Rattus norvegicus: one gene and its partners. The protein of the gene in region 2 purifies or fractionates together with the protein of the main gene of each other region. This does not show direct contact. Links are inferred from orthologs where the notes say so. Each region holds a gene or a part of one and is shown on either strand. Other genes may lie near its edges.

Region 1 (4,186 bases), on a different chromosome or scaffold from region 2:
CATGTCTTTTATTTTGTGACTCACTGAGTTTAACTGGGGCTGCCTGTATGACCATGGGGTTGGAGCAGTCCACCGATGCCTGGTCAGCTTACCAGCAGGCACACGTCTGAATAATGACTCCCCATTTCCCAGTGTGTGTCTGTACCCATTAGGTCAGCAGAGAGGGGCAGGGCCCCTGAGTCCCTTCCTCATCCGTGACTGTCCGTCAGGGTCATTTGTGTGAAGCTCAGTGCAGATAAACACAGTGGCTCTGAGTTCAAGGCTGCAGTGGTTGTCATGCTCAGAAGATGGCTTCTGGGCCTTTTCCTATTATCTTCTCTTATATTCTTTCTGCTGCCCTCTTTTATGATAGTCACTAGGCTTTTAGAGGTCATCCCTCAACTAATGTATTCTCCAGATAACCTTGGGCAGTCGTGAATCTCTGTATTCACTGTCGTCCCCTGCATAGAAAGGCTTATCTGATTTGGGCTGAGAGTAGCGTTTTCTACGGGCATAAGCATAGATATTCAGAAGGCAGTCAACAAACAAACTTCAAAATGAGAAGCTTGGCACACAATTTGTATTTTATGACTACAGCATTTTTCAGTTTAGACTGGCCACATTCAAATCCCTGACGTGGCTGTATCTGACATCTTGGCTTTGGAGAGATAGAAGAATTTATAGACCTGTTTTATTGCAGCAACAGTTCTTTGGGGTCGGGAGGCATATTTTAGTCTTTGAAGAGGCAAAGTGGACTGGGGAGATAGCATGCCTAGCATTTTCAGTTGTGAGTTCAAGGCTTGGGGCTTTTAAAATAAATATTAAAAGTTAGAGTTAAACCATACAAATTTACCAATACAGAGTGGAAAAACTAGCCTTATTCTAGCGGTTTCTGGAATCAAACCCAAGCATCCATTTTCACATGGTATTTTTCCATAGTAATATATGTGGCAATATATTTTTCATTAGCTGGGTAACAGACACACTAAAATTGATCAATTTTATGGGGAGTAGGTAGGGACCTCTAGCTCAGGATGGCTTCCAAGTGCCTACACGGCCGATGATTTGGACCACTGATCCTCCTGCCACCACTTTTCCACTGCTAAGATAATAGGTCTGCACTAACACTTCGGGTTTATACGCAAAGGTTGAAATCAACCCCCGGCCTCTTTGAGTGCTAGGAAAGCTCTTTACAAACTGAGTGACATGGGGTCCTTCAGGCAGACGCATAGCCTGCTGCACCGTGACCGCGGAGTCCTTCAGGCAGGAGTGCGGCCGGCTAAATCGTGACCGCGGGGTCCTTCGGGCGGAGCGTGGCCGGCTAGGTAGGGCGTGGGCTGCCGGGCGGGCGCCTGTGCGCAGGCGCGCAGACCCTGACTTTCCGTGCTCCCGCGCTCTTCAGTCTTTCGGCGGTCGGACATGGTGAGAGCGACATCGCTTTGGTGCGCGGAAGTTGGGGAGGCCTGGGCGGTGGGTCAAGCTGCTCCGCATCGTGGGCTGGCGCAGCACGGGGAGCGGGCGGGCATGCAAGGCTAGCATTCTTCTTGCATTCTTCTTGTGAGCTCTCAGCAATGCTCCTGCCTCGGCCTTCTGAGGCCGGTCTTAGACCGCTCCTTGAGCAATGGCTCAGCGTTTTCTGCAGTTCTCGAGGGTTGTGATGTTATCCGCGGCCCGTAGGCGAGCCTCTCTGGATTGAGCCGCCTTTTTTTTTTTTCCCTTTGCATCGGAGACTTGTGTGTGCCTGTTTTTTTCAGGGTTCAATGATCATTTACGAATATTGTTTCAAAGTTAAATATTCTAATTGGGATGGAAGAAGGCCGGCCTTGGCCCACGCCTTTTAATCGTATCACTCCTGAAGCAGTAGCAGGCAGCCTGGTCTACACGGGGAGTTCCAGACCACACAGGGCTTCATAGCCGAGACTCTGAACAAAATAGAAAAATAACTTATTTGGCAGTGGATTTGCTTTGACCTACTTAATGGGTGATGGCGAATATCTTAGATCCGAAGGTGAAATTTGGAGCTAATGGGCCTGATCGTTTAGTAAAGGAGATAATATTTGAGGACTGTTGAACAGTGCACTGAAGCTTCAAATTCACCGATCGAGAGTGTGTATTGCACTTGGTCGGCAAAAAGGTGAGCGGCAGAATTCGGGTCAATGATGAGCTGGCATGTATTCTGAATCTAAAGTTGATTAATAACCACTTTAGCTCTAGAATTACTCTGAGACCCGAAAAAAAAAGTGCCGTCATCTGGTCATACGAGTCTGGGCTGTCAAGTTTTCAGGATGTCGAAAGGAAAACGTAATGATCCAGTCTCTGTTTTTCTTCGAAGGGCACACAGCAGAAGGACGTCACCATCAAGTCAGATGCGCCTGACACCCTGCTGCTCGAGAAGCATGCTGATTATATCGCCTCGTACGGCTCAAAGAAAGATGATTATGTGTGTATGAGTTTCTTGTTAGTTTAATACTAATGGACAGGCCTGTTTCTTAAAGCGTTGTCTGTTGGCAGAGGCCTGATTTAAAGTCCATTAGGATAGATGGGCCTGGTATACTAGAGGTTGATACTGGATAGCATTAGCCTTGCATACCGGTACACAAAGGGCCAGAATACAGGGATGCAGGTAGAAGGGGTTTACTCCTTTCTGTCTGGGGTATAACCTTGAAGGTCAATGATGTGTTGGCATGTATTATCTGAATTTGCTGATGTGTCCTAACATTTGAGCTCTAGAATTACGCTGAGACCTTGAAAAGGTTTTACCTAAACAGTATAATAGGGAGGTTACCACACCCCTGTGATAATCTCCAGCAAGGGGTAGAGCTGGAAACCCCGGGCTTTGTGGGGAGACCCTCTCCAAAGAGGAATCACATGGGTAATCAGACCCTTATTTTGGGAGGGGGGGAATCATAGGCCTAAATGGTCCTTATGTCAACTGTCCGCCTGGCCCTTTAGGCGTTTGGTTTGGCTTGGCAGCACACCAATGACACCTGTACCTGAGTGAACGCTTGTGAAATGATGCTTGATTTGGTTTCCATCTCCAGCACCATTTATCTCTCCGTATTCATAGACCTTGTAAAATGCAGTAATTGGTGTTTGGTAGACTGAAGGAGTGAATGTTGCCTACTAAATTCACCTGAAGTTGGCACTTGGAAACTATTAAAGTTTGTTCTCAATCTTCCTGATGCTGCAACCCTGTCGTACCATACAGTTCTGCATGTTGTGGTGAGCCCCAACCATAAGATAGTTTCATTAGTTCAAGACTTAATTTTGCTGTAATGTCGGACCCAAAGGGGTGAGAACCGATGCTCTTAAAGTTGTTCACAGCTGACCTAGGTAAAGGTGGGTTTTGTAGTCAAGAGTGACAAATTTAAGACACTTCTCCCAGGAATACTGCATGTCCGAATACTTGAGAATGAGCGGCGTCTACTGGGGCCTGACAGTGATGGACCTCATGGGGCAGCTTCATCGGATGAATAAAGAGGAGATACTGGTGTTTATCAAGTCGTGCCAGCATGAGTGTGGGGGAGTCAGTGCCAGCATCGGGCACGACCCCCACCTTCTCTACACGCTCAGTGCTGTCCAGGTAAGCCCTTGTGAAACATTGACCCTATGTGACGACCCAAATGTTAATTGCCCGCCTTTAGAGTGAATTCTCTCCTACAGGTCAGTGATGTCATGGCATGTATTAGCTGAATGCTAACTTGATGCAAGTTACAAATGGCACTGAGACCTGGGAGGGTAAAATGCATCTGTGTCAGTCCAGGTTAGAGTTGGTTTTAGTGAGGAGCGAGAGGGCGGGTAAAGCCTACCTCTGTCAAATTATCAAAGGAATAAGAAATTGTAATGAAATGAGTAACAGCCGGCGCGTGTGAGCCATTTATAGTAATGGGGAAGGGCATGGTGGTTGGCCCAGGACAAATTCCTGCGATGCTTGTCTTTCAGATTCTCACTCTGTATGATAGCATCCATGTAATCAACGTAGACAAAGTGGTAGCCTATGTTCAGAGTCTACAGAAAGAAGATGGTTCCTTTGCTGGAGACATCTGGGGTAAGATCGGCTTTCACTTTTTTTAGTCAAGCTACTCCACTCGGAGCATCTTTTGTCTTGGTGTAGTAATCATAAGATTTCAAGTTGTTCATCTTTTCAGGTCCCACTAAGCAGTTGGTCTAACTGGAGTAAAATGGCCTGCTGGAAGTCCCAGCATGC
Region 2 (4,329 bases):
ATTGTGGGTGTTGGAGATTTGAAGTCCTTTGCAAGAGTAGTTTACCCTCTCAACCATGAAATCATCTTTTAGCCCTAAAATTATTGTTTTTTTGGTTTTTTTTTTCTTTTTTCTTTTTTTCGGAGCTGGGGACCGAACCCAGGGCCTTGCGCTTGCTAGGCAAGTGCTCTACCGCTGAGCTAAATCCCCAATCCCATAATTATTGTTTCTTAGGGTCTTACTATATAGCCCTGGCTGGCATAGAACTTCTATGTAAACTAAGGTGGCTTCAAACATACAGAACTCCATCAGCTTCTGCTGTTTCTGCTTCCCAAGAGCCGAGATTAAAGGTGTATGTCACTAAGTCCACATTTAAAAAAAAATCCCTTAAATTATTTTTGATAGAACTTCTCACCGTATAGCTGTGTAGACAGAGTTGGCCTAAGAATTGTCATTTCCCTGTATGAACATCTTGAGTGCTGAGACTACAGCTATGCCTGGCTGATTTTGTGCTCTTGAGGCAGTGACAAAAAGGAAAACCTGGACCAGAAGAGCATTTATGTGTGCGTGAGCTGAGCCCGTAGACAGTGGGGATACATTAAAAAACAAACCACATGGCCCAGTTAATTTACTATGTGACTCAAGGCAAATCCTTTAACTTATAACAGCTCTTGTGTGCATGTAGACCAGGCTTGCCCTAAACTTGAATTTCTGATCTTCCTGCTTCTACCGTTCAGGTGCTAGGATTACTGGGTATGTGCCACACACCCATTTATGAGGTGCTGCCAGTCGAATTAATTAGACTTGTATGTTAGGCAAGCACTCCAACTGAGCTATACCTCCAGACCTGAAATAAAAAATTTAGCTGTGCTTAATGGATTAATATCATAATTGGGGAGCCAGTTCATATTTTAATATAATCAAATTTTTGAAGTAAAGTTATGTTAATTATCCTCAGCCTATTTACAAATGAATACCCTGTTTTAAACAGAATACATGTGAAAGAGCAAGTTACCAAAGCAGACAAATGCAGTCGCTTTGTGAGTTGAAGAGTTAAAAAGAGTCCATGGAAAGACATTTTCTTCAAGTACCCTTAATTTATTGGATGAATTTTTAAGATCTCAAGACAATGAAAAATGAGTTAGACATGATTATTGTAAGACCTGTGTTTAAGACCTTGTTATGTATGTCCCCCTTATCCCAATCTTTAAAGGTGTCGATAATTTAGCATTTGTTACATTTTACCTATTTTGGTCTCTTAGAGAATCTGTTCTTTCTGAAGGCTTCATGTTTATTCCGTTCTGTTATTCACTTCATTTTACCTGTTTTTTTCCCCCCCAGGTTTTTCGTTGGAATATACGTTGCACATTTATGGCGATTCTGAGCGTGAGGGCAGACTTCTGCCAGGCTCAGCACAGCCTTTTCGCTGACAAGTGAGCTTGGGGTTCTATGTGCCATAATTAACATTGCCTTGAAGACTCTGGACACCGAGACTGGCCTCAGAAGTAGTAGGCTTTTTTTTTTTTTTAAATTGCAAGCGTATTCTTTTAATGACTCCAGTAAAATTAAGCATCAAGTAAACAAAAGTGGAAAAGAACCTACACTTTTAACTTGTCTCACTAGTGCCTAAATGTAGTTTAAAGGCTGCTTAAATTTTGTGTGTAGTTGGATTTTTTGGAAGCTGAAGGTATCCATCTGCAGACATTGAGGCCCAAGTTGAATTTGGATTCAAGTGGATTCTTAACACTTCTGCCTGTGCTGAAGAGAAGCTTCATAAGGAACAAGCAAGTTGAATAGAGAAGATAGTGATCAATAAGAGGCATTTAGTGGTCTTTTTAATGTTTTCTGCTGCGAAACATTTCAAGATTTATTGATTTCCTCCTCCCCCATTCCCCCCACCACACTCACACACGCACGCTCACACTTTTTATTTGCCATAATGAACCGTCCAGCCCCTGTGGAGATCTCGTACGAGAACATGCGTTTTCTGATAACTCACAACCCAACCAATGCGACTCTCAACAAGTTCACCGAGGTAAGGTGGTGGCAGGGTCGACTTCCGGGTCAGCTTTTCTTAACTACGAAGGTTTAGCCTTTCATAGTTTACGTTGGGTTGAATTGTTACAATTTTGGAAGAATATGGAATTTGGAGATACTGTAGATTATCTAGTACTTCTAATTGTGTGTTCTTTCTGTGTTTATTAGCAGTATTTTTGCCATTTTTCAGTAAACTCAACATTTATTGACCACAGTATGTACTCAGCATTGCAGTAAGCACTGAATACTGTTTGTAAGGTCCAGGTACGACTATGAGACCACGGGTGCTATTGTTTTCTCCTTCTAGACGGAGCACCACTCAGCTTCAAAAGTCATTGTATGGGTAGAACTAGTACCTTAAGCCTGTCATGCATCCTAGTGCACATGTTAAGGGGTGAGCAAGATGGGTAAAGGAGCTTGTTGTCATGACAACCTAGATTCTATCCTTGGGAATATGAGAACTGATTCCTCCAGGTTGTCCTCTGACTTCTGCACATTGCCATAACACACATGTATGTCCCATATGCCCTAAATCAACGTGTAGTAATTAAAAACAATAAACTGATGTCATACTTCAACCACAAACTGCTTAGTAACAGCAGTTATTACAAGTACAGGAATCCAGAAACTTGGGGAAGGAAGTGGTCATGAGTAGTAAACATGGAGCCTCCTTTTTTCCTTTTTTCCTCCTTATGCAATGGAGAAAGTCTTTACTCTTCAGGGGAGATTTAAATATAAAGTCTTTAATCTTGTATAGATGATAGCATCAAATGTGAGTTCAGTTGATGTGTTGTGGAGTGGAGAGCAGCTGGAGGACCAGTCAGCCAGGGACTCTTGGTTATGGGTGGCAAAGCTGAGACCAAGTAGTTTTACCAATAAAAATTATAACAATATTTTGATGAGAAATAACCATGAAACTCATGTTAGCTCCCCACCCCCTATTTTTGTGGCTGGAAATGGAGCTCAGGGCCTCATGCATGTCAAGAGGGACAGTGCCACGAGCTGTGTCTCCAGCCCTTCTGTATTTACTTTCTATGTGAAGCACTCACAAAATTTCCCAGCCTGGCCTTAATCTAATTCTGTAGCTCAGATGATCCTTGTGGTCCTTCTGTTTAACCATCTAAGTAGAGATGACAAGTCTGTGCCACTAGAAATACTTATTTTTAAAATTCTAGCTGGGAGCTGGTGAGATGGTTCAGTGGGTAAAGGTCCTCACTACCAAAGCTGCTGACCTAAGCTCAACCCCAAAACCCATGTGGTAGAAGGAGAGACCGGAGATTGGAGTATTGTTCACAAGCACAGGCACAAAAATGAACAAATGTAAATAATTGTTTGTTAGGGTCTCACTGTATGGCCCTGTCTGCCTGCCTTTGTGTCTGGAGAGCCGCTCCTGGCCTGTATTCTGTTTAAAGGAATAACTGGCTATAATTGTGTACTAGCTCTTTTTTTTTTTTTTTTTTTTTTTTTTGTGGTTCTTTTTTTCCCCCCGGAGCTGGGACCGAACCCAGGGCCTTGCGCTTCCTAGGCAAGCGCTCTGCCACTGAGCTAAATCCCCAACCCCATGTACTAGCTCTTTTAAAATTACTTTTCCCCCCAATTTCAAAATTAAACTTTTGCTCTTTAGAAAAGCAATAGATGATTATCGCATAAAAATTAAAGCAGCCAGCCAGTGGAGGCACACACCTTTAAATCCTAGCCCTGGGGAGGCAGAGGCTGATCTCTGAATTCCAGGCCAGCCTGATCTTCAGAGCTAGTTCTAGGATACCCAGGGCTACACAAAGAAATACTGTCTTGGGGGGAAATAGAGAAGGCAAAATAAGAAGTAGGCATTAACCCAATAATTGGGAGTCGGGGACAGGTAGGTGGATCTCTGTAAATTCAAGGCAAGCCTGGTCTACAAATCAAGTTTCAGGACAGTCAGGGCTGTTAAACAGACACCCTATCTTGAAAATAGACAGCAAAATAACAGAAATTATAAAAACATTGAATTGTTAAATACCTTAGGCTTCTAGGTTTTGTTTCCCACATGTGTGTATATTCAGAAATACACATATGAGATCATACTACACATTTAAAACGGTTCCACCAGTCTCTTTTGTGTTACTTTTGTAGCCATCATAGAATTCACCGTATAGGTGTGCCATCCCTCTTTGGGAACGCTAATAGACAGTATTTATACCTTTCAGCATTCTGTTCTGTCTATGGTGAAGATGCTGTCCTGACCTTAGTACCTGCTTTCTGTGAAGTCCCAAGAATACAACTTCTAGGTCATTGTATATATGAACTTTTTTTTTTTTTCTTTCTTTTTTTCGG
Region 3 (4,245 bases), on a different chromosome or scaffold from region 2:
GAGGAGACACACTCCCCACTGCTCCTACTCAGAGCGAAACAGGCTCCTGGGTCTACAGCACTAACTCTCCTTCCATGCCATCCAGACTATCTCCTGTCCTGGTCACCATCCTCAAGATGCCCTTGGCTCTGATGCTGAGGATCTCTGTAGAAAACTTAAAAGGGAGAGTTGCCAACCTGCCTCCTTGGCCGTGACCCTGACCCAAGTGCGCCTTTGAAGATCAAACCTGGTAAGGCCATTTCTTCTCTCCTGATCCCATTTCAAGCCTGTCTACCACCTTCCGGATTCGGAAATGACCCCGGGCTTATCACAACTAGTGTTCAAATGTGGCTCCCGGGTCAGCCGAGCCTTAGCCAGAAACAGCTCTATGTACAGGAGGAAGGTTGGGACCAGGACTGTGAAGCAAAGTCATATGAGCTTCAGGGTCTCCTCTACAGAGTTCCCTTTCTTCCTCCTCACCTCCTTCACCCTAGGAGAGTTTTACTCTAGAGCTGCCTTGTTTACAGCCACTTTTGGGAGTTTCGGGGCAGAAGAGGGAGGAAGTCTTTGCTGGCAATAAGGAAAATGGTGTGTGCCCTGAGCTTGGAGGCAAGGGAGTAGACCCTCTTAAGTGCCTACTTACGGGGGAGCTAGCCAAGCACACACACACACATCACATACACACACACACACACACACAGCAAGGCCACCTGAAGACTGGGAGTGGGGGCAAGTTTATGTTTGACTCTTGGGAAAGATGGAGCAGTAACCAAAGCTCTCCCTCCATGCTTCTGCTAAACAGCAGAAACTGTGGGAGTTCCGAGTTGGGAGCCCAGGAGAGACCTCCCAATTTTGCTTGTGGGCTGGAGGGTGAGTGATACTACGCTGCCACAAAATCTAGAGCTCCAAACCTGGGGCAAACTCGAGGGGGAAAGTGTGAAAATATCCAAGCTGTCCCCTGGTGGTCATGGGTCAGAAGAGCCAGGAGGTCCACTAGAACCACAAAACAATCCTCACAAGAGCGGTGCAACCCAGTCCCAAGTCACTTCATCAGTCAAGATTCCCCTCAAATGTTTTCCCCTGTGACAACATCCTCAGCTCCCAGACTACTTCCCCTCACCACCCTTTACGTCTCCATGAGGCCTGGTGGCTGCTTTTCAGCCACGAGCCTTACCCTGTATCCCTCCCGCAGCTCCAGACAAGTGTGTCTCCTTCAGCTTGGATTCAACTAAACACAGAGCACAGTGAGAGCTGCTTCTGCTGCGCCTGTGATAACGTTCACCCCAGAGGTACAGGAAATGATGGACAGAGGGACCCAGAGTCAATTGCACAAACAGAAGAGTGAAACAGAAAACAGAGAGCACGCAGGAGATGCTTCAGGGAAAGTGGTGGGGGGAGATATCAAAAGGACATTTAACCAGGAGCCACCCCAGTCCTTACCCTTCTTGAATTCCTCCAGCATGGCATCCAGCTTGGTGTCATGAAAAACAAAATGGACCGGGTGGTTGTAGAAGCGAGTGATCGTCTTGAGCGGGGTGCAGTCATCTGGGTCAACAAAAGCCAGGTCTTTGACGTAAAGGATATCTACGATATTGGACTGCTCATCTTCAAACACAGGAATGCGAGTATAGCCACTCTCCATAATCTCCGACATGGTGTTGAAGTCCAGAATGGCATCACTGCGGATCATGAAGCAGTCGTGTAGCTGGGTCATGATATCCTCCACAGTTTTGGTCCTTAGTTCCAGAGCACCCTGGATCATGTTTAACTCCTCCTTCACCAGGTCATTATAGGGCTCTGTCACCTTCAACATCTCCATCAGTTTCTCCCGATTGTAAACAGTGCGAATCTCCTGACCCAAGACGAAGTCCAGGAGTTTGCTAATGGGGAAACTCAGGGGGAAAGTGAGTAACATAAAGATTTTGGTGAGAACAATAGTGTTGGCACCCACAGCCAGCCCATGCCTGGAGCACAGGGCTTGAGGTAAGATCTCCCCAAAGATGACAATGCCAATGGTGGAGGAGGCCACTGCCATGATGCCAGAACCGATGAGGTTGTCTAGAAGGATGGTGAGGGAGGTGTTGACTAGCACATTCCCCAGGAGCAGCGAGCAGAGCAGGTAGTTGCCCTTGCGCCTGATGGGCTCTATCTTGCGAGCGTACCTTCTCTCCTTCTCAGTTCCACAGTTCTGCACGATGCGCAACTCCATCGGGTCCAGGGCCATAAGCCCCAAGTTGAGGCCAGAAAAGATGCCCGACAGCACCAACAGCACCAAAACAAGAAGGATGTGCAGCCAGAGCGGCAGAAACCTCCCATGCTCCTCCACCATGAAGAGCAGGGAGTCCTTGTCCGTCCATTTGAGCCAGGGCCCGTCGGCCCGGGTCCGGGTGCACAGCGCGTACAGCTTCATGTTCTCACTCCTCCGCAGGAACTTGGTAATCACCACTAGCATCCCCGACGTGTTCCCGCGGCTCACGTTGACCAGCCGCTGGACCACTAAGTCCTTGGTGAGCTCCAGGCAGTTGGTGGAGTTGTGGACCGTCTCGGCGTCGTCCACCTCGGTGAAGGAGATCAGGTTGCTAGAGATCTCGCCCAGTCTGTGGCCGTAGAGCCTCAAGTTCACCGTGCTGCCCTCGGACACGAAGATGATGCCATCCGGGTTCATCCCGCACGACTTGTTGCAGCTCGCCAGCCTCATGCCTAGGATCACGCTCTGCTGGGGGCTGCTCTGGCCGCTGGCCGCCCGCGTCCATAGCAGCAGCAGCAGCGCGGCCAGGAGGAGGCGCCCTCGGGCCGGCCAGCCGTCCCGCCGCCCGCCCCCGCCCCCCGGCGCCATGTTGCTCCGGCCCCGCCGCTGCCCGCGCCCCGCCGCGCGCCTCACTCGGCGCCGCCGCTCCTGCCCTCCTGCCGCTCCGCCGCCGCCGCGCCAACTGCCCCAGGAGAGGGCCTGACGTCAGACCGCGCCCCGCCCGCCCCGCCCCGCCGCCCCACGCCCCTTATTTGCATGCGAGGTCCCGCCCCTACCCAGGGCTCGCGCTCCGGGCTTAAGGAGGTCTGAGCGCTTAAGGTGGAACGGCGCGAGGCGAGCGCGGGAGCCTGCGGCGGGGGTGCGCCCAGCCCAGCCTCCGCGCCGCGCGCGGCTTCTCCCGAGCTCCTCCTTAGGGAGCCCGGCTCCCAGGCCTCACGCGCCTGGCTGCTTCCGGGTCCCCTGCACTCTGTTGCTCCGTTCTAGGGCGGGTGTGCTTCTCCACAAGCACAGCGAGAAAAAAGCATGCCATTTCCTGGTTTAGAAAAAGAAAAGGGAACCTGAGGGCTCAGGCTGGCATTACAGCCTCCTCACTTCTGGTATTTTTGCTGGCCTTGACCCAAGGCCAGAAATAGATTGTCTCTGCCCCCGAACTCCCCCAGCCCACCGGTCGCTTCTGTCTGGAGACCACCAGCCCCCTAAGGTGCTGAGGATTCAGGCTCTGAGCTAGGTTTTTCACCTGTCATTTCTATTTAGGGATGTTTTCATTGAATATGTATACTTGCAGACTCTAACAATAAGGCAACGAACACGCCAAAATTCTTGCACACCTTAGTTTACAGCCTAGCATCAGAAAAAATGGCAATAAGCAAGTATAGCTATACGGGGCGGGGGGTGGTGGTGGTGGCGGGAGGGGGAGCTCAATAAACAAATACACACAGGAACAGTTATTGAATCCTTCTGGCCACGTGAAGTATTTTATATCTTACAGATTTGAACCTAGGCACAAATCTTAGGCCTTTCAGATCTCCACCGTTAATCCTAGTTCCTGTCTGTAAACGGCGGTAAGAATGACTATTGAGACAAGATCTTACATAGCCCAATATGGCTTTGAACTCTTCAAATCTAAGGCTACCGTGAACTCCCCGATCCTCCATCCATAGACTCCCAAGTGCAGGGTTTACAGGCATGCACCACCATGCCTGGGTTGATTTGATTGTTCAGCTATGGGTTCAGTTTTTAATTTGATGGCAGGAAGAGTGATAACACAGCATCACCTGGCTAAAGCAAGTGAGAACAATTGGCTTACACATCAAACATGACATGACAACTCTCTGTGAATAGTCTTTGCCTGTGTAGTAATAGTCATTGCTGCCTGCTCTTTCAGAACCGTACCCTTAACCCCAAATTGTGGTGACTGGCCAGCTGAGGCAGCTGCTTGTGGAAATGAACCGAGAGGTGTGGCTGCTGTTCTAGCCTTGAGATCACTGCTTCCTGGTCAGCCCTACTTGGATGTCATC
Region 4 (4,072 bases), on a different chromosome or scaffold from region 2:
AAATTATAAAAAATACTTAGGGTATTGACAAAGAGGAAGGCTATTGTGATTACGGAATACAAAGTAAGACCAGGAAAACATTTTTTTTTTAAAACGCGCTTCAGTTGTGAGGCAGAAAGTTCAATTTGGGAGCTGCTGTGCTACCGCATCTACTCTGAAGATTTGAGAGTCTTGGCAATCTGTGCTCCAGAATCTATCTTCTCTGGAGCTAACAGCATTTGGCCAGTGCATTTCAGAGGAAGCTTTCAGGGGCCTTCTTAGGAAGCTCTCCCCTTCCTGTTTCCCAAAATTGCCAGGGTGCACGTTAAACCAAACCAAACCAAACCAAACCAAACCAAAAACAGGACCCATCTCATTCTGTGATTATAGCACGACTACAGGAGAATTCCTGTGATTACAAAGTTTGGGAAGCTGACCACACACACTTTGAGGGGTTTGCTGAGAGCTAGCAAACATCAAAGGTCGCCCGTGAGGGCCGGCAGGTGGCGCCACATGATCGTGAGCAGTTGAGGGCGCTCAGAGGCGCGGAGATCGCAGAAAGTCCTCAGCGTTGCTAGGGCCACCCTGTCACCGCGAATCTCCAGAGGAGTTGCAAGCAGGAGTAGTGGGCTGGGGGCTTGACTAGTATCCCTATTTGGTTTTAGGCTGTGTGCACCGTAAGTTGTCTCCAGTCGGCTCTGGTGCTCCCAGGGAAGGAGGGCTCAGCCCTTTCTGCGCTGACACGGAGCCCTGTGGAGCCCGCAAGGCCCTGCAGCAAGGACTTGAGGCCTCGCGCCTCAGGGCAGTATTGCAGGGCTGCCAAGCCCGCGCGCGAGGATCTACTACAGAGACCCCACAGGGAGCGCCGCACCCGCGGACCGCTCCTTTTCATTGGTTGACTGGAGGAAGACCACGCCCCCATCCCTACAGTGCTCATCTTTGACTGGCTCTTGCGTCTGGGATGGCCACGCCCCCTCCCCTCGCATACACAAGAGTCACGCGCCTTTCAGTTGGAAACTTGGCATGCTGAGGAGGACAGTGGCCCTCTTCTCCCCGCCCACCTCCCGTGCCATTGGTGCGGCACGCCGACTGCGACCACGCCCCCATTCCAGCCCCCTGGCTGGGAAGGCGGGCACCCGCTCTTGATTGGTTGGCAGACCTGCCTCTCGCGGGAGAGGCTAGCACGCCCCTCCCTCCCCTCCCTCCTCCCTCGAGCCCGGGGGTTCCTCAGCTGGCTCAGTCCGAATCAGTGTCATTCAGAGAGAAGGACAGCTGAGGGCTGGGCGCGAACGCGCGGTTGCAGTCCCGCTCGGGCGCCGGTGCCTGCGCTCGCGCCGCCGGGTGGGAAGGATGAAGCCTCAGCTGGAGCAGCCACCCTATGATTGGCTGTGGAGCTTGTGAACCCGAAGTAAAGATGGCGGGCGGGCAGGCAGCCGCCGCACTGCCCACTTGGAAGATGGCGGCGCGCCGCAGCCTCAGTGCCCGCGGCCGGGGGGTCCTGCAGGCAGCTGCGGGCCGGCTGCTGCCGCTGCTACTGCTGAGCTGCTGCTGCAGCGCGGGCGGCTGCACAGCGGCCGGCGAGAACGAGGAGACTGTGATCATCGGACTGCGGCTGGAGGATACGAACGACGTGTCGTTCATGGAAGGGGGTGCTCTGCGGGTGAGCGAGCGGACCCGGGTCAAGCTGCGGGTGTACGGGCAGAACATCAACAACGAGACATGGTCCCGCATCGCCTTCACTGAGCACGAGCGGCGCCGGCACACACCCGGCGAGCGTGGGCTGGGGGGCCCCGCGCCTCCGGAGCCGGACAGTGGCCCCCAGCGCTGCGGCATCCGCACCTCAGACATCATCATCTTGCCCCACATCATTCTCAATCGCCGCACATCGGGCATCATTGAGATCGAGATCAAACCGCTGCGCAAGATGGAGAAGAGCAAGTCTTATTACCTGTGCACGTCTCTCTCCACGCCCGCATTGGGCGCCGGCGGCTCCGGGTCTGCGAGTGGCACCGTCGGGGGCAAGGGTGGCGCGGGGGTGGCTGGACTCCCGCCTCCTCCCTGGGCCGAGACCACCTGGATTTACCACGACGGTGAGGACACCAAGATGATAGTGGGCGAGGAGAAGAAGTTCTTGCTGCCCTTCTGGCTGCAAGTGATCTTCATCTCGCTGCTGCTGTGCCTGTCCGGCATGTTCAGCGGCCTCAACCTGGGGCTCATGGCTCTGGACCCGATGGAGCTGCGCATCGTGCAAAACTGCGGCACGGAGAAAGAGAAGAATTATGCCAAGCGCATCGAGCCGGTGCGCAGGCAGGGCAACTACCTGCTGTGCTCGCTGCTGCTGGGAAACGTACTAGTCAACACCACGCTCACCATCCTGCTCGACGACATTGCGGGCTCAGGCCTTGTGGCGGTGGTGGTCTCCACCATTGGCATCGTCATCTTCGGAGAAATCGTGCCCCAAGCCATTTGCTCCCGACACGGCCTGGCGGTAGGGGCCAATACCATCTTCCTCACCAAGTTTTTCATGATGATGACCTTCCCCGCTTCTTACCCGGTTAGCAAACTGCTGGACTGCGTCCTGGGCCAGGAGATAGGCACTGTCTATAACCGGGAAAAACTGCTAGAGATGCTCCGGGTTACTGACCCCTACAACGACCTCGTTAAGGAGGAGCTGAACATCATCCAAGGGGCGCTGGAGCTCCGCACCAAGACGGTGGAGGACGTGATGACTCCCCTCAGGGACTGCTTCATGATCACCGGCGAGGCTATCCTGGACTTCAACACCATGTCTGAGATCATGGAGAGTGGCTACACTCGAATCCCAGTGTTCGAGGGAGAACGGTCCAACATCGTGGATCTGCTCTTTGTCAAAGACTTGGCCTTCGTGGATCCAGATGACTGTACTCCCTTGAAAACCATCACCAAATTTTACAACCACCCTTTGCACTTTGTTTTCAATGACACCAAGTTGGACGCTATGCTGGAAGAATTTAAGAAAGGTGGGCAATTTTGCTAATTTTTTAATTGGCTTTGCTCTTTCTGTCTCCATCCTCCTCCCTCCTTGAGTCCTCTACCCCCAGACCAACCCCCCAAGGAGAGTTGACCGGAATTTCTCCCTTCCTTAATTGCAAAGTTGAAAGGATGGCATGGACTTGGGGACGGATTGAACTAGTGAGCACTTCTAGGTTTAAAAGCCCGAGACTGTCATTGCTTTTTCACATCATCCAAAAACAGGCTTTGTAATTTCAGTGCTTGAAACTTGACCCTCTAGGGGCCTCTTGAGGGATCTGCTTCATTCATTGTCTGGGTCCTGAATAGGTAGGTGAATGTACAGATGGGCTCCCTAGATGCCCTTGGGTTACATCTGATCACAGACGTTTGGAAAATATTTAAGTAGCCTTAAAAAGCCCAGTGTAATCCTTTTTTCCTTCCTTAAACACCCATGCTGACATCTCAAAGATTGGAAGTATATTTTTGTCCTTGAATATCTGGCATCCTACAGGGTAGACTGAGGTCTTTGAGGGTGGATCGGGGTAAAGAACGTACCATTCTAAATCCTTGCATTATTTGGATATGACTTCTCAGGCTGGGAAATGGGGTTTGTTTTGTATAAAGCAAACTTAGTTATTAATATATAACTTGGAAAGGTTAGCGGTAAGTTAACTTTTTATGAGGCTATAACTGTCTTCTTCATTGTTTCTGCTTATCTGACAGCAAGTACAATTCCCTAATGCAAGTGTGGTTTGGCAGCAAGCTTGAACCTGTAATAGTGGGATGCATACCATTCTTAATTATGATTTATTTCTTAATTTTTTTAAAGTGTTCTTCTTTTAACCTTGATCTCTTGATATGTTAACATGAAGTATGTCTCCAGGCTCTAAGGTATTAGTCAGGAAGAGGCAAAGGCCCAGTGTCCGCCATGTGGGCACTCACAGCACATCATTTTTTTGCACTGTGGTGTTGCCTGTCTTATTTTGTCATAAATAGGGGAATAGCAACCAGCGCTATTATTACTGAGACTTTGAAAGTTGCCAGTAAATAGCTGGTGTTGTTGAAAACCAAGGGATGCTGAGTCTTGTCACTGGCGCTTGGC

The links.
Region 1: the proteins of Ptp4a2 (region 2) and Rabggtb purify together in Homo sapiens (affinity purification with mass spectrometry; 3 studies listed by BioGRID and IntAct, counting the BioPlex papers as one, with this or other methods). This does not show direct contact. The link is inferred for Rattus norvegicus from reciprocal best matches to the Homo sapiens genes PTP4A2 and RABGGTB.
Region 3: the proteins of Ptp4a2 (region 2) and Cnnm4 purify together in Homo sapiens (affinity purification with mass spectrometry; 6 studies listed by BioGRID and IntAct, counting the BioPlex papers as one, with this or other methods). This does not show direct contact. The link is inferred for Rattus norvegicus from reciprocal best matches to the Homo sapiens genes PTP4A2 and CNNM4.
Region 4: the proteins of Ptp4a2 (region 2) and Cnnm2 purify together in Homo sapiens (affinity purification with mass spectrometry; 4 studies listed by BioGRID and IntAct, counting the BioPlex papers as one, with this or other methods). This does not show direct contact. The link is inferred for Rattus norvegicus from reciprocal best matches to the Homo sapiens genes PTP4A2 and CNNM2.

What each region holds. Positions count from the first base shown.
Region 1 is NC_086020.1:245,507,976-245,512,161, reverse strand, and holds the start of Rabggtb (geranylgeranyl transferase type-2 subunit beta), read left to right. Parts: upstream 1-1,382; 5' UTR 1,383-1,398; coding exon 1,399-1,401; exon of another isoform or gene 1,402-1,421; intron 1,422-2,130; exon of another isoform or gene 2,131-2,210; intron 2,211-2,311; coding exon 2,312-2,419; intron 2,420-2,645; exon of another isoform or gene 2,646-2,726; intron 2,727-3,364; coding exon 3,365-3,562; intron 3,563-3,641; exon of another isoform or gene 3,642-3,712; intron 3,713-3,921; coding exon 3,922-4,027; intron 4,028-4,139; exon of another isoform or gene 4,140-4,186. UniProt on the Homo sapiens protein: Catalyzes the transfer of a geranylgeranyl moiety from geranylgeranyl diphosphate to both cysteines of Rab proteins with the C-terminal sequence -XXCC, -XCXC and -CCXX, such as RAB1A, RAB3A, RAB5A and RAB7A.
Region 2 is NC_086023.1:147,464,107-147,468,435, forward strand, and holds the start of Ptp4a2 (protein tyrosine phosphatase type IVA 2), read left to right. Parts: upstream 1-1,507; 5' UTR 1,508-1,918; coding exon 1,919-2,014; intron 2,015-4,329.
Region 3 is NC_086027.1:46,206,274-46,210,518, reverse strand, and holds the start of Cnnm4 (metal transporter CNNM4 precursor), read right to left. Parts: upstream 2,816-4,245; coding exon 1,420-2,815; intron 1-1,419. UniProt on the Homo sapiens protein: Probable metal transporter. The interaction with the metal ion chaperone COX11 suggests that it may play a role in sensory neuron functions. May play a role in biomineralization and retinal function.
Region 4 is NC_086019.1:255,583,904-255,587,975, forward strand, and holds the start of Cnnm2 (metal transporter CNNM2), read left to right. Parts: upstream 1-1,248; 5' UTR 1,249-1,357; coding exon 1,358-2,978; intron 2,979-4,072.